Linked DNA regions of Mus musculus: all the other regions are reported to be linked to region 4. Evidence: microRNA targets listed by miRTarBase, many of them from high-throughput screens and not tested one by one. Region 4 holds a microRNA gene; each other region holds the end of a gene's coding sequence.

Region 1 (4,062 bases), not on the chromosome of region 4:
AAGTCTGTTCCCATGAACGATAACTCCTAATTTCCCCTCCACACCCCACACCCCCCCGCCCCAGCCTCCCACAGCCTCTTCTCCATTTCTACCTGAGTATTTCTAAGGACCTTGTGTAAGTGGAGTTTACCTTGTGGCCACATGGTCATGTGACCAGGTGTGGGGTTTCAGAAAAACTGGGCAGCAGAAACAGGTTCCGGATGTGCAATTACCAAAAGTTAGCTCAAAAATCAAACACAGCGTGATTCTGAGATCTTCTGTGGCAGTGTTTGTACGAGTTGCCTTGTGGTCTGAACACACACGAACACTGCACGGTGCACGCCATCACGATATGCAACACCAGTGAACACACTGATTTACCTCTGCTCAGATTTGATACTATTGAATGTCATGAACTGCGGTGACCTTACTCTCTTAGAGCATATTATGTTTAATTACTGAAAACAGAGACTTGTGATATTTACCTTCCATTGTCCCAGGCAAGTAAGTATCAAATTTGTTTATCTTTAGATGCGATTGTGTTAGACAAAAAATAAACACACCCCTCTCAAAAGCAAATTTATTTTTTATCCTTAATAGGTGATAAAATGCTATGCATGTCAGAGAATTTTTTTAATTAAATTTCTTTGTTATTTATTTTTATACATATTTTATATTTCTACATAACATTTCTCAAGCAAAAAGTGGTCGTGAGTAGAAAAAGCTAAAGAATTAGATCAACTGACAAAATGCTTGTTTTTAGATCTGAGTAAGAGCCCCAGAACCCATGCCAACTAAATTGTTTGCAGAAAGAGGAGACAGGCAGATCTCGGAATGGCCTGCCTAGCCAGCCTAAACTACTTGGCAAGTTCCAGGCCAGTGAGAAACTCTATCTCAAAAACAACAACAAAACAAAAAGGCGATGGCCCCCCAGGCCTACACACATACACCCCAAAACCCATTCTCCACATCCCTTTTGCTTGTCGTCTGTGGGTTGGAGCCTAGACCGCTTTCTCTGGCTCTTGCCTTCTGTGCGCGTTCTCATACAAATTGTGTAAGTCTTTCTTTCGATTTCTTTGGCTCTCTACCTGGGAATGGGACTGCTGAGTGACTTGGTGACCCGAGTGTGACTTTCTGAGAAACTGCCAATTGTTTCCACTTTAAAGTGCAAACTATTTGAGATGAAAGAGCCCAGCACTGGTGCAGGGGTGATGGGAAGTCCCTCAGGAGATTGAAGCCACCTGGGCTCGCACTGGCCTCCTGGTTATGCAGTTTATAGCTCTCCCTGGAGATGACGGATCAGATGTGTTTGTGATTCAAAGGCCTTTTCTGCGTCCAGAGCCACACGGCTTCTTGGTCTGGGTAAATTGTACTAGAGCCTAGAGTTTGGCACAGAGAATTTATTTTTCAGATTTCAGAAATGGTGATGGTGTGTGCATACGTTTCTGGTTCCATTCATAGGGCCTGAACTCCAAACATGATTGCGTCCAAGGACTGAAGGAAAAGCCAGGGGTTTTAATTGAGAAGGCAGGAAATAGGATATCACAGAGTCCCCACCAACACAGACCAGAACTACTTAGATCACGCCAGGCATGCTGGGAGAGCAGGGAGCAGGTGACCCCATCAGCTGCAAGTCGGTTTAGAATCCCTTTTCTTTTTGACTTTTAAAAAAAATATTTGGGGCTGGTGAGATGGCTCAGTGGGTAAGAGCACCCGACTGTTCTTCTGAAGGTCCAGAGTTCAAATCCCAGCAACCACATGGTGGCTCACAACCATCTGTAACAAGATCTGATGCCCTCTTCTGGAGTGTCTGAAGACAGCTACAGTGTATTTACATATAATAAATAAATAAATCTTTAAAAAATATTTGTTTGTTTGTTTATGTATTTATGTGTGAGTGCTTTGTATATGCACACCTGCACACCAGCAGAGGGCATCAGATCCCACTGTAGATGGTTGTGAGCCACCATGCACCCTGTGGTTGCTGGGAATGATCTTAACCATAGAGCCATCTCTCCAGCCCCTGTTTTAGAATCTTAAGTTCTGTCTGGGTTCAGATCTCAGTTCTTCTACTTCTAGATGGAGCAGAGTTTAACTTTCCCCAAAAATTTTTTTTTCCATTTGTAAATTAGGGACATTATGGAGACTGTGTAAAACAATTTGGATAAAATAAACCCATGCGGGCGAGACGATTCTCATGGGGTCAGAGGCACACCCTTGATGAGGATGGGATCTGCCCTTCCTCGGGTCCTGAGAACAAAATCCAGGGGCTCCGTTAAGTTGGGAGAGCTGAGGCTCAGTTATAGCTCTGTGTGCAAAGCTCTAGGTACAATCCCAAGGAATCCCAAGCGCCCTTTCAAGAAGGCCTCTCAAACAGAAATCACTTAAGAAAGCATTCTCCCTCTCCTGGTTTCAGAAGTCTACTTTAAACCATGAGGTTTTGATACTATTTGTATGTGATCGCCCTAAAATTACCTTTGGGCCAGTGAAATGGATTAAGCAGGTAAAAGTAGTTTTTTGCTGGACAAACCTAACGACCTAAATTCTATCCTAGGACCTATGAAAAGCTGGAGATGGCGGCATGCATCTGGAATCCCTGCACTCTGTTCATGGGCCGAGAAGTATAGAAAGGAAAATGCCCCAGGAAGCTTTACATGAGAATGTAACACAGCGGCAGAAATCACAAGATACTTTGCCTCAAATGAGATAAAAGATGAGAACTAACTCCTAAAAGTTGTCCCCCAATTTCATCAATGTGTGCGAGTATGTACACACACACACACACACACACACACACACACACACAATTTTTTTTTAAGTTTAAAGTTACCTAATTTCCTTTCTACCACTTCCTTTGTGTCCACATCAAATCTGGGGAATCTGGTAGACACGACTTTTCTAGTAGGTATGAAACCGTGTGTCTTAAGTAAGGGACTCTCAGCACTTTAAAAATAAAAATTAACTGAGCCCGATAGGTGGGTGGTTCAGTGGTTAAGAACACTGGGTGCTCTTCCAGAGGGCCTGATTCCCAGGTTCCATGTGGACGCTCACAACCATTTGTAGTTCCAGTTCTAGGAGATGGGATACCTTCTTCTGACCTTCATGGACACTAGGCGTGTATGTGAGACATACACGTAGGCGGATCACTCATATAAGTACAATTATATTTATTAAAGGAAAGAAAACAAAAACAACTAGCCATGGCAATACAAACAGAAAACCTTGAGTATCCAAGCAAAACTCTCCCAGGGGCCATTTAGAAGCAAACACTTCTTTTGAGGGCTCACTTTTATTTACTTCAAAGGGTTCGCCCTTTAAGGAGGCCCATAGTGTTAAAAGCAGAAGCAAAGGGGAGACACTTCAAGAATACAGCCGTGTGAGCAGAGATCACTCTCATTAACATGTAGGACATGTAGAACACTGCATGTTTGGTAAGTGTGAAAGGATTCAAGGAGACAGACCTTCCTCTCTTCCATCTTTCCTAGCGATGGCTATGGCTGGGACAGAGGTAGGCTTAGCTCAGCCTCTGCTCATCCTTGTTGATGTAACTCAATGAGCCGACCTGCAAACACAGCCAGCGTCCCGATGAGACACACCAGCATAAAGACTCCGAGGAGGATGTGATCCATCACCATGGCAACATACTTCCATTCCTCAGCGGCCTGGGGGAAGCAGAGGGCGTTAGATAGGAATCCCCTGAGATGGGACACAGGCTCATAGCGCCCCCTACTGGCCTGGCCTTCAATATGTAAACCTCCAAACCTCAACACCTGATATTACAACCTTTAGTTTTTGCATAATTAAGCCAAAATGACTTACTATAGTTGCCAGAGATAGTCAACACAGTGCATCTGAAGTTAGTAACTAGAGCTTGAAGCCAATTCATTGGTCAACCTCCCTGTCACACTTATGCATTTAATCATTTAGACCCAGAGGTGTGTTAGCTTAGAGGTTGTGGCGCAAACCTTTGGTCTTAGCACTCAGAAGGCAGAGGCAGGCAGATAGATAGACAGACAGACAGACCCGGAGGTGTGGACTGGGAGCCACACAGCTTACGTTATTGGACTCCTGGTCTGACTTCAT
Region 2 (4,062 bases), not on the chromosome of region 4:
TCCTTTCGTTAACACTGATCACATACATATGCATGCCACCCTGCCATGCTTTTTCTGCATGGATGCTGGGCCTCTGAACTCAGGTCCACAAGCTTTGGCAAGCCTTTTACCAACCAGGCCTGAGCTTTGCCTACAAGCTTCATCTCCCTAGCCCTAGACAAGGTTTCTGTCTCGACCTTCCTTCTCTGATAAAGGCCCCAAGGTCGGGGTCTCTGTTGGTTTTTCCCACCTGCCTTGTTAGTATGAACATCACCATCCTTCTCTTCTCTTCCCAGGAAAGTATGTGATGGTGATGGGGGTGGTTCAGGCCTGCAGTCCTGAGCCCTGCCTGCAGGCCGTGAAGATGACGGATCTTTCTGACAATCCTGTCCACGAAAGCATGTGGGAACTGGAGGTGGAAGATTTACACAGGAATATTCCTTAGCGCTGGGACCCTCTAAGAACAGTTTACCCCCATATGGGTCTCAGGAACATCACAAAAGTTTCTTGAAGAGATTCGCTTTGGTTGAGCCAGCCGTCTGGACCCTGGGAACTGGATCCTCGGTTGTCTAAGCCACTCCTCCCTGCCTTCCTGCTGCTGCTGCAAAGCATATGCCCCCCCCCCCCCCCGTCACTTACGTGTGTGTGTGTGTGTGTGTGTGTGTGTGTGTGTGTGTGTGTGTGCGCGTGCGCGCGCGCGAAAGTGTGCCTTTCTCTTGCTGAAGCTCGTGGAAAGCTCATGTTGTCATTTCCTGGTTCTTCGAATGATAACACTTTCTCCTTGACCATACCTCTGAATTTCAGTTTGTTGCCAATGGATTAAAATTACAGATGTGAGGACAGAATGGCATAGTGGCCTGCCTCCCATCACCAGCTATTGCCAACTTGTAGGGACAGGTACCAGCCCCTTGCTGACAGCTTGCTCTCATATGCATTGTGCTCATACTGAAGCTGAGGCCAGCTGTTGAGAATGGTGGGAATTCTCACAATTCTCTGTTGAACTTAAAAATCCAAGATGGAGACAGACTTTTCAAGCACTTCTGCTTCAAAACTGTTGTGGAGAGACATCCAAGGTGGAACAGCCTGTAGGCTTAGAGTCCTGGCCTCCTTTCTGTATGAAACGCCTTTCTGTTGGGGTTGTATCAGTGTTGGGTTTGGCTTTCTGCTGACAACCCAGGCTAGATTCCTATTTGGATGGCAAAGACCCAGCAGGCCATCTTATGTTACAGTCTTGCTGTAGGACTCTTCCTAGTAACACTTTTTTTGTTTTGTTTTTTGTTGTTTTTCGAGACAGGGTTTCTCTGTATAGCCCTGGCTGTCCTGGAATTCACTTTTTAGACCAGGCTGGCCTCGAACTCAGAAATCCGCCTGCCTCTGCCTCCCCAGTGCTGGGATTAAAGGCGTGCGCCACCACACCCGGCCCTAGTAACATTTTTTGTGTGGTGTAGTTTTTAAAAGTAAGCCCTACTATCTGTTTGTCTTAAAGACAGGGTCTTATATAGCTCAGGTAGTCTCCAGCTCATGACTCTCTTCCCTCCCCTCCAGCCCGTTGAGATTACGGGTGTGCACTACTGTGTCTGCAGTGCTGGGGATGGAACCCAGGGCTTCCTGCAAGCTAAGCAAACACTGTATTACTGAGCCACATTTCCAGCCTAAAATGTTGATTTATTAAAACAGTTTTAGGTTTTTGGAAAGAATGAACAGAAAGTGTTTCCATAAGCACACTGAAGCTGAGGCTGTGTATGTGTTAAGCAAACACATGAGCTAGAGCCCCAGCTCTTGTGTCTTCAAGGCTAGCCAGATGTGGCAGGCCTCCTGCTGCAGCCTCCAGAGTGTGGCCCACACCCCACACTCGGCCCCCACACCCAGCCTCACCTGGATTGCCATGAGCATCAGGTGGTACTTGTCACCAGAAAAGCTAAGGAGTCACCTGGCAGGAGATGGACATCGAGGGACAAGAGAGGATGAGGACTCAGGTGATCTAGACCTGCCTCCTTCCTGCCCTCCACCCCCTAGAAAAAGCATCGAGGCCTTGAGCCCAGTTTGTAGCTCAGGCCAACCTCAGATTTCCCATCTTCCTGCCTCTGGTTAACTGGGATTGCAGGCCTGCTCCTCCAGCCTGCTTACATGGACGCCTTAAAAAAAAGATTTTATCTTTAGTTATGTGTTCGTGGGGTGCTTTGGAGCCCAAGAGAGAGTGTTGATAAATAAACTTTACCAGCCCCATGCCAGGTAGCTCACAGCTTCAGTAACTCCCTGTAGTTCCTAGGCATCTGACGCCGCCTTCTGGCCCCTGGAAAACCCTCACAACCTAGCATATAGACTTCAAATAAATACTTAAAAAAAAATAAGTCCTAAAAAATAAAGAGAGCCAGGTGGTGGTAGCGCACGCCTTTAATCCCAGGGAGGCAGAAGCAGGCGGATTTCTGAGTTCGAGGCCAGCCTGGTCTACAAAGTGAGTTCCAGGACAGCCAGGGCTACACAGAGAAACCCTGTCTCGAAAAACAAATAAATAAATAAATAAATAAATAGGGTTTAAGAATAGTAGTAATGAGGGCTGGTGAGATGGCTCAGTGGGTAAGAGTACCCGACTGCTCTTCCAAAGGTCCGGAGTTCAAATCCCAGCAACCACATGGTGGCTCACAAACCATCTGTAACAAGATCTGACGCCCTCTTCTGGTGTGTCTGAAGACAGCTACAGTGTACTTACATATAATAAATAAATCTTAAAAAAAAAAAAAAAAAAACAGTAGTAATGAATGGCACTGGGGTTGGACCACGGGGTCCCCAGGGTCTCACACACGCCAGAGTAGCACTCGACCAGCTAGCCTCCTCTGACCTTTAAACTGATGGATGTCTGTTGTGCTGGGAGGATGGTGCCCTACAATCCCACGTAAAGACTACCAGCTGATTCATCTTTCTGCATGACTGCCTTCCTGCCAGCCAGCCAGCCAGCCAGCCAGCCAGCCAGCAGTAGTCAGTCTCTCTGGCCTTCCCTTCTTCCTTCCCTCCCCTCCTCACCCTGCCTTCCCCACCCTACCTTTTTAGGCAGTGTCTCTAGTTCAGACTGGCCTTGAACTTGGGCTTTCCTGGAACTCATTATGTAGAGCAGATGAGTTTCTGCCTCCTGAGTGCTGTGTTAAAGGTGCTAACATTTTCTTTTAAAGGAAGGCCAAGTTGAAAAGTGATCTGTGTTTGACTGCTGAACCATTCATTTTTTAGGTCTATTTTTATTTGTGTGTGTGTGAGTCTAAAAGAGGACCTTGGAATCTTGAGCTGGGGTTACAGCAGGTCTGAGCATCCCTGTGTGGGTTCTGGGAACCAAACTCAGGTCCTCTGGAAGAGCAGCAAGTGCTCTTAATTGCTGAGCCATCTCTCCAGCTCCAATGTACGTTGTTTGAGCCTCAGAAAATTTGCCAAAATAGTGCAGCTGTTTATATTTTTATTTGCCTATTTATTTGCATGGTCTCTGTAGCCAAGTTTGTCCTGGAACTCCTGATCCTCCTGCCTCAGCTTCCTGAGTATTGAGATCACAGGTGTGCGCCATTAAGCTTGGTTTATGCAGTATTGGGGCTCAAACCCAGGATGTCTTAAATTATAGACATACCAGGTTCCTATCATGAATATCTTACATTAGTATGGCATGGATGTTAAAATTAATTAACAAATTAACTAATGAACAAATACTGAAAAGTTAGTAACCAAATTTATAGTTTGTTCTGGTTTCTTTATTCATTTTTCCCCAGGATTCCACATTCTACTTGGCCGTCGTGTCTCCTTAAGGTCTCCCTTGTCTGGGACAGTTGATCAGTTGCTTTTGATTGCACTGGAATTTAATAAACAGACACACAGGTACACACAGTATACACACACATGCATATGCACACACACACACAATTTTTCAGTCCTGGAGATAGAGCCCAGGGCCTCTTGCATGCTGGGCAGACTCTACAGCTGAGCTAGCTATACCTTAGGTCTCAAATTAATTAATTTTGAGGCATCATCTCATGTTCCAGGCTAGCCTCAATCTCACTGTGCAGTTATGCATGATCATGAAGCCCAGCTCCTCCTGCCTGCACTTCC
Region 3 (4,062 bases), not on the chromosome of region 4:
CCCGCCCCTTCCCTCGGTTAGCCAATAGGGTAGCTATTAACCTGCCGACAGGTGTGGTTGTCGGAGCATCCTTCCTTTGCCTGTCTAGGCTGTTATCTGATCCTCGTAGTTATTCCCCAAGCGCGTTTGCTTGGTATATCTCTAAAACTCAGTGCTTTCTAAAGGATGAAAGAAAGAAAGAAGGAATCAGGAACATTGCAGAAGCGACTGAGAAACACAAGGCGTGGGACTGACGTTTCTCTGGTTAAGTTAGCAGACTGGGACCTTCCCTGGAGTTGCAAGGACTCCAGCTGTAGAGGAAACTGCGCTTTGCCCTACCTCGGTTACATCTGTAATGACTACTCACTAGAGTTCTGCTATGCTTCTTAAGGAGTAAACTTCTCCGACCACCCTTGCCGAGTGCTTAGGTGAGCCTCTGGTTTAATTTTGTTTGATTCCTGCCGTTTTTACACATACTTGAGTCTCACTCTCTGGATTTCTCGTTGTTTAGTACCCATGAAGCACTCCATAGCCCTTTGCTGACTAGGTTGCAAACGTGAGCACCACGTTTTCATGAATTGGGGAAACTCGATCTATCTCTGCCTACTATGTGGAGGAAAAGAAGATAAATCCACACTTGAAGAGAACGTGCACGTGCATTTCACCGCATCAGAATGGCATGAAGCAAGAGAGAAAAAATGGCTTATAAAAAGGCATATTCTTCGGCTGGAAAGATGGCTCAGCAGTTAAGAACATTTTCCTGCAGAGGACCAGTTCCCACAGGGTGGCTTGCATGCTTGTAACTTCAGTTCCAGATCTGACTCTTTCAGCTGGCATCTGCTGGTGCACTTAAGCTCACACATTTATGTAATTTTTAGATGCATATTCTTAGGGTCACATAGACTTAAGAAGGTGAAACCTAGGGACCAGTGTTTGTCCAGATTTTTTAAACAGCTTCTACACTCTCTCGAGTTTGTTATTCATTCAGTTTTGCTATTTCATGCGGGCCCAAGAATGGGGAACTGCTTCTAGCTCTATCAGGAATCCCTGCCAAATTATTAAGATGCAGCTTCCTTCTTATCTAGGCGGTCCCCAATTCTGCTTTTTCTAACAAGCTCCCAGGATATACTAATGGCCTTAAAAACAGTTATGATTCTCGGGCTGAGCTGCACTTTAGAATCACCGGGGGAGTTGGTGGAGGTAGAATCCAGATACTTAAGACTTATGCTAGAACAATTACATCAACAGCTAGAGTTGGAAACTAGTTATTCTTTCCCTGAAATGATCCATGGAAATTCCTGTTTTTCTTTCCAGTAGAGAGATTTGAAACCAAGGCTTAACATGCTAGGGAGGAAGACTACTATTGAGCTATTTCCAGTCGATTCTTGCCTCTCCTTTTTGACAGATTTCACATAGGACAGGCTGGATTGGACCTAGAGCTTTGCAGCAGAGAATGACCTTGAACTTCAAGTCTTCCTGCTTCCATTTCTCAAGTACTGGATTTCAGGTATGTGCTTACCACCATGTGGCTGCTTCTTCGACCTTTTAAGGAACTGGAAGTCACTGTGTAGACTAGGTTCGCCAGAGAACTCACAGAAATCTGGTCTCTGCCTGGTAACGCTGGGAGTGAGTGAGTGCCACCACACCGCAAAGCCCTTTTAAAATGTTTGAGACATGGCCTTGACACTGCTAGGCAGGCACCCCGGTTTGAACTGTATTGCTGGCCCTTTAAAAACTTTGATTGTGTACGTATAGGTGTTTAGCTTATGCGTGTCTACACCACATGTGCACCTGGTGCCCAAGGAGATAAGAAAAGGATGTCATTCTCTGGGGCTAGAGCTATAGACCATTGTAGGCTGACGTGGGTGCTGGGAATCAAACCCAGGTCCTCTTGAGGAGCAGCCATCTCTTTAGTCAACTCCCCCTAACATTTTGTGTGTGTATATGCATATGAATGTGTGCATATGCATATGAATGTACTGTGTGCAGGTGCACATGCATGTGCTTATGAAGGCCAAGTCAATCTCAGCAGCTCATTTTTTGTTGTTGCTGTTTTTGAGGTTGTTTTGCTTTGTTTTAGATAGGCCACTCATCAGGACCATACATACCTGTGTCCACCTTGTCAGCATTGGAATGGCAAATACATGCTACCAACTCCTTGCCTTTATATGGGTGCCAAGTATTGAACTCATGGTTTTATGCTGTTGTTTTGGCTTTATTTTGGTTTTGGGGTTTTTCAAGACAGGGTTTCTCTGTGTAGCCCTCAATGTCCTGGAACTTACTCTGTACACCAGGCTGTCTTTAGACTCAGAGATCTGCCTGCTTCTGCCTTCCAAGGTTCCCATGTTTTTATGAAATACACTTTACCAACAGTGCTATCTTGCCAGATCTCCCTAGCTTGCTTGCTTGCTTTCTTCCTTCCTTTCTTTTTTGGACACTGGCTTTTTCCTACAGCCTAGGCTGACCTTGAACTCAACTGTGTAGCCTAAGTACTTCCAACCCTTCTGCCTCAAAAGTCTCCTGAGTAAGTAGGATTACAGGCTTAAATACACATTTTTTGAGCTCTATCTTAGCAAAAGTGAAATCAAACTTTACGACCAGCAACCATATCTTAGTGAGTCCTCAAGACATTCTGCAGCATCTTGAATTCCGAGACTCACATCTTCATACTTCACTCCACTCAACACTGGCAAAGTCAGAATGAAGTCAGGCCAGGGACAGAGTAGGGGTTCTAAGGGAAGTGACAGACAAAGGGCTTTCCCCAACAGACCCACGGGGGACTACGATTAAGATACAGTATGTAGAGAGGAATAGAGACCAGGAAGCCCAAGATAGAAAGCCCTAACCTCACCAGCTACATCTACATTTAGACCAACAGAGCTAACCTTAAGCAGAGAAAATGGAGCCCAGCAGCTACTCTCCCTCAGAGAACGACAGACTCATAACAAACCAGACACAGTTCGCACTGTTCAACGTTCTCCCTTGAAGCCCCGGCTCGCAAGTCAGACTGGGTGGTGTGCACTTCTTTTGCTTGCCTGGCATTGGTCCCTCCCACAGGACACCCGCCTGCCTCACCCTTGCTGAGGACCTAGGCTTGGACCCCTCATCAAACATGAATTAAAACAATAGGCTCCACCATGAATGCAGAACTGGGTGGGTGCTTTCTGTACACACTTTCCAAGGCTTTTACGTGCTTCATTTTGTGTGGATGTTTCTTGGACCAAGGTGTCTAGCCTGAGGGACAACAACCCTGTGGGTCTTGTTGGGTCCTGGAGTTTTGTGGTGGCCATGATGCTGATGTTCTCATGGGGCAGGTGATGGTGTTAGAGATAGACAGGGTTTTTCTTAGATTCCAGGATAAGAGCAGAAGAGAGCTGGGTCCATGCTGCTCACACTGGAAGCCCCACAGCTCTGAGTCCTTTGGTTCTTTCATAATCACTCACACCCTCTGTTCAGAGCCCGACACTACACATTTAATTGTACTCGTTCTATAAAAGCACTGCCTTTCCCCCTGTAAGTAAAAAAGCTGAGTGTGAGGAAGACCTTTCTGCCCGTTTAGGGAAGCAGCAGCATGGATGCTGGGGGAGGCAGGCTAAGGTTCTTCATCCTTTTTCTTGGATGCTATGGCCTTGGGCCAAAGGCAAAGCATGGAAGGCTGCCTCCACCACACCACAACTTCCTGGCTGGATATCTGTCACTTCAGAAGCTCCAGTCCTTTATGTCCTTTCAGTGGATGGTCACCTGGAGTGCGGGCTCCTTCAGGTAGACATGGTGCCACTTTTCTCACCCTTGACCTTGAGGAACTCGGCCATGCTAGAGAAATACTTCTGGTTGGCCTCTGCCACCTTCTTCTCGGCTGCTTGTGGGTTCACAATCTCTAGACCCTGGGTTGGAAAGGAAGAGGGTGACAGGTGAAGTTGGGAAGCTCAGGCCTCCCTCTAGATGAGAACCAGACATGTCAGAGTCTCCCAGACACTCTTGTGGACATGGAACCATTTACAGTCCCTGAAGTCTCCCTCAGTTTGGGAGATTTTTGACACAGTGGGTGTTGGGGTAGGTCTTAGATGTCAGGACTGTTAATCT
Region 4 (4,068 bases):
GGGTGGTTGTGAGCCACCATGTGGTTGCTGGGATTTGAACTCCTGACCTTCAGAAGAGCAGTCGGGTGCTCTTACCCACTGAGCCATCTCACCAGCCCCGATTAAAGCTTTTAAAATTCTATTTTTTAGCCATTTCAAAGTATGGATTATTAACTATTGCTACAACATTATATGATAGAGTACTGTATCTACTATTAAACTGAACTTGTTCATTTTTAAAGCAATGTTCTGGAAAGTATTCCCTCTGGAATATTTTTATCCATAATACAAATAGTTATATACTATTGTGAAAATAATATTTGAAAAGTTTGTACTCCCAATACCTGCTGCTTTTCAATTAAATTATTTGTTTTAGTTAGTTTCTTGAATTTCTATGGTTAATACATATCTAAAATTGCTCGGTGTCATCACCAGATAAAGAAATAGCAATCAAAATTGTAATGAGGTATCACCCAACATCAATAACAATGCTAATTGTTTAAAAGAAGAGACAGTTGTTAGGCATGGAATTAAAATGAGCTTTTATTTATTGATAGTTGAATCATAATTAACATGTGAATTATGGAAAATATAAGGAGGTTACTTCAAGGCTAAACATAGATTGAACATATTATCAGTTGTCCTATTTCAAGATGCATTTGGGAAGAAATGAAATCAGCAAACTAAGGGATACTCTGACACGATCTGTGCAAGTGCCACTCTCACAGCACTCATGATATGAAGTTAGTCTAGGAACTAATCTTCAGTGGCTAGAAAAGAACAGTCAAGTATATATGCCCATAAAGATAAGTGGAATAATCTCATCTCCAGAAAAATAAATGGATCTGGATGATATTTTGTCAACAGATATAACAGAGATACAGAAATACAAACTGTATACAGTGTGAAATCTAAATACATTAACGAGATTATAAGAGTGATCACTTGGTTCTGAGAGGGATAGCATATCTAGAGATTGACAAAGAGCAATTGCATTTGAATCTTGAATACCTGTATGGAAAGCCACACTAAACAATTGTCTTTGCTATAAAGCAACTCAGCTATTTTTCTTTAAAGTCTTAACAGTTACATTGGTAAGTACTATGATAAAACTATGATAGCAATTTCTAACGTGATTTAAATACATCTTTAGGGATGCTAACAGTTTTTATGTAAATAGTGTGACAATATTTATTTGTGTTTTTATGAATGAATGTATGTATGTATGTATGTATGTATGTATGTATGTATGTATGTATTTTTCTAGAGATTGAGTCTAGGTTCTGATATATGTTGTACAAAGACCCTACCACTAAACTTCTCTGGCATTCTCAGAAGATATTTTTTAAGTATTAGTAGAGCTTTGTAAATGTTCAATTACTTTTTTTTGTGGTAGTCAGGTTCGATGATCATTGGACAATCTTAGAGATTATGAGTCAAATAAACAGCGATTATGAGGCACCCCTAATTTCTTTCAGTGTGTAGGATCCTGGGCAAGAATAGGAGTTGAATACTTCAAAGACTAGACATGTAAGACTGCAAACATCCTAAATAGTATATATTATCTGTGTAATAATTTTGATCTCTTCATTATCCAAATGAGTATGTTTTAATATTTAGAAGAATTATAAAACATGAGTACATAAGAATTTCACCAAATGATGAACATTCATGAAGACTCTAGTAGTACCTTCACCCCCAACTAGATAGTTCTGATCTGTTTTAGCATTGGATAACACTAGAGAAACTAAGCAGAAATATTTCTACTTTGCTTACCCATGTAAAACTGGTTCCTGTTGAAAATGTTTACAATTTTGTTCACCCTCACAGTCTACAGTATGGTCACAATTTTAACTCCTGGGTAGTTTCCATCTGACCAGCTACTTGATCAAATGGTTTAGACGATTGATTTTGATTACCTTCCCAAAGAACAATATAAGTATAATATACAAAGAAAAACATAGAATTCCATTTCCTTTGGTCCCTTAATATTGATAAACAGAATCCAAACTAACACCCTTTGACATTTTTTGTTTGTTTGTTTTTGTTTTTTTTTTCTCTTCTTTTGCATATACCTACTGTCCAAAGCATACGTGAAAGGAACCAACAGCCTTTAAATTCATATTGATATTCGCTTTTAATTAAGATGATAACTCCCTTCTGAGAATTGAAAAACATCTTGTTTTTAAAAGGGAAAACTGGTTTTCTTATAAGTGGAGATAGATGTCCCTTGCTGGGTTTTCATGATTTTTTGTGAATTTCTTTTCAGTTGCCACTCATATTTTCTTATACAAAAATCAAGAGAAGCAAATTGCTTATTTTCACTACCTGGAAAAATATTCAGAGAAAGTAGACTGCAAAATCCATTGTAACATTTATTAACAGTCAAGGTCTTCTGAGAACACAGAATAGCCTAGAGCTTTAATCTTTCAATTTTTTCTTTCTGTTCACAGAGTATTCAGCTAAATATTATTGAGTTGATGAATTAAATATTGTACACAAAATTATTAAAATGATAAAAATGATAAAATAGCTCAAGTTAGAAAGTTTCATGCTCACCATTCCTTCAGTCCTTTCCACCCTTTCAGTCTGGTCCTTTCTGCTGGGGCAGACTCCTAGTTGGCCTGCTCCCATGAAGATTCCATATCCCGATATATCCTAGAGGACCAAATGCACTCAGAGCAGTTGAGTATCAGCTGCCCTCAGCTCAGTTGGACAACAACTTGACTACTCCACCTAAAGACTCAACAGTCTGAAGGCCAACCAGGAGGTCTACTGCTGCCAGGCAATAGACCAGCAGTTTCTCTGCCTCTGTGAAGAGCTGCCAGTTGGACAGCCCCACAGGTGGTCTGATACAGCCAGGGCCACAAGCCTTCCAGGAGACCTGAAGCAACCCAGGGACAAAAGAGGTAGACTCCATACAGTCACCTAGATCAACAAATACCAGGGATAACCTGATGGCAAAAGGCAAGGACAAGACCATAAGCAACAGATGCCAAAATCCATGGGCATCATCAGAACCCAGTTCTCCTACCAGAGCAAAACCTGAATATACCAGCACGCCTGAAAATCAGGAATCTGTCCTAAAATCCTATCTCATGAACATAATAGAGTCATTTAAGGAGGATATCAATAACTCACTGAAAGAAATACAGGAAAACACAGGTAAATAGGTGAAGGAATTGAATAAAGCAATCCAAAACCTAAAAGTGTTAGTAGAAACGATAGAAAAATCACAAATGAAGGCAAATCTGGAAAAGGAAACCTAGGAAAGAGGTCAGGAATTACAAATGTAAGTATTACCAGCAGAATACAAGAGATAGAAGAAAGAATCTCAGGTACAGAAGATATGGTAGAAAAAACTGTCAAAGAAAATACAAAATATACAAACCTTCTAACCCAAAGCATCCAGGAAATTCAGGACACAATAAAAAGACCAAATCTAAGAATAATCAGAATAGAGGAGAATGAAGATTCCCAGCTCAAAAGATCTGAAAATGTCTTAAATAAAATAATAGAAGAAAACTTTTCCAACCTAAAGAAAGTGATGGACATAAAGATACAAGAAGCCTATAGAACACCAAGTAAATGAGACCAGAAAAGAAAATCTTCTCATCACATAATTATCAAAACACTAAATGCACAGAGTAAACAAAGAATATTAAAGGCTGCAAGGGAAAAAGGCCAAGTAACATACAAAGGTAGACCTATTAGAATTACACCAGACTTCTCAACAGAGACTATGAAAGCCAGAAGATCCTGGACAGATGTTACACAGACCATAAGAGAACACAAATGCCAGCCCAGGCTACTATACCCAGCAAAACTCTCAATCAACATAAATGGGGAAACAAAAATATTCCAGGACAAAACTAAATTCAAAGAGTATCTACCAATCCAGTCCTACAGAGAATTCTGTAAGGAAAACTCCAACACATGGAAGATATCTACACCAAAGAAAGGACAAACTATTAATCATTTCAGAACCAAGTAAAAAGCAGAGAGCCACAATCACATAAAATAACCTACCAAAACAAACATCTCAGGAACCAACAGTCATATCTCTTTAATATCTCTCAATAATAATGG

Evidence for each region. The annotated mature microRNA mmu-miR-3961 reads UGCCCUCAGCUCAGUUGGA and lies in region 4 at 2,677-2,695, shown strand. An mRNA with a match to its seed (bases 2 to 7 or 8) in the 3' UTR can be bound and repressed. Matches are read on the target gene's strand: a 7mer-m8 pairs with bases 2 to 8, a 7mer-A1 pairs with bases 2 to 7 and ends in A, and an 8mer does both.
Region 1: miRTarBase lists Chrna1 as a target of mmu-miR-3961. Seed matches in the 3' UTR shown: 7mer-A1 at 1,772-1,778.
Region 2: miRTarBase lists Rmi2 as a target of mmu-miR-3961. Seed matches in the 3' UTR shown: 7mer-m8 at 2,531-2,537.
Region 3: the mRNA of Prpf31 is a reported target of mmu-miR-3961. Seed matches in the 3' UTR shown: 7mer-m8 at 2,239-2,245.

What each region holds. Positions count from the first base shown.
Region 1 is chr2:73,562,667-73,566,728 of GRCm38, forward strand. It overlaps Chrna1 (cholinergic receptor, nicotinic, alpha polypeptide 1 (muscle)), which reads right to left. Exons shown (of 9, transcript NM_007389.5): 8 at 4,036-4,062; 9 at 615-3,641. The coding sequence ends at 3,510. Gm30940 (a long non-coding RNA gene) reads left to right here. Exons shown (of 2, transcript XR_866434.2): 2 at 2,534-2,712. Among named protein-coding and RNA genes, the nearest start is that of Gm30940, 3.5 kb to the left of the region's middle.
Region 2 is chr16:10,839,554-10,843,615 of GRCm38, forward strand. Rmi2 (RecQ mediated genome instability 2) reads left to right here. Exons shown (of 2, transcript NM_001162932.1): 2 at 276-3,682. The coding sequence ends at 424. Among named protein-coding and RNA genes, the nearest start is that of Rmi2, 6.5 kb to the left of the region's middle.
Region 3 is chr7:3,640,598-3,644,659 of GRCm38, reverse strand. Prpf31 (pre-mRNA processing factor 31) reads right to left here. Exons shown (of 14, transcript NM_027328.4): 14 at 2,175-3,863. The coding sequence ends at 3,738. Gm15927 (a long non-coding RNA gene) reads left to right here and starts at 315. Exons shown (of 6, transcript XR_003946711.1): 1 at 315-407; 2 at 491-846; 3 at 1,385-1,486.
Region 4 is chr13:82,696,905-82,700,972 of GRCm38, reverse strand. Mir3961 (microRNA 3961) reads left to right here and starts at 2,640; the gene lies at 2,640-2,698.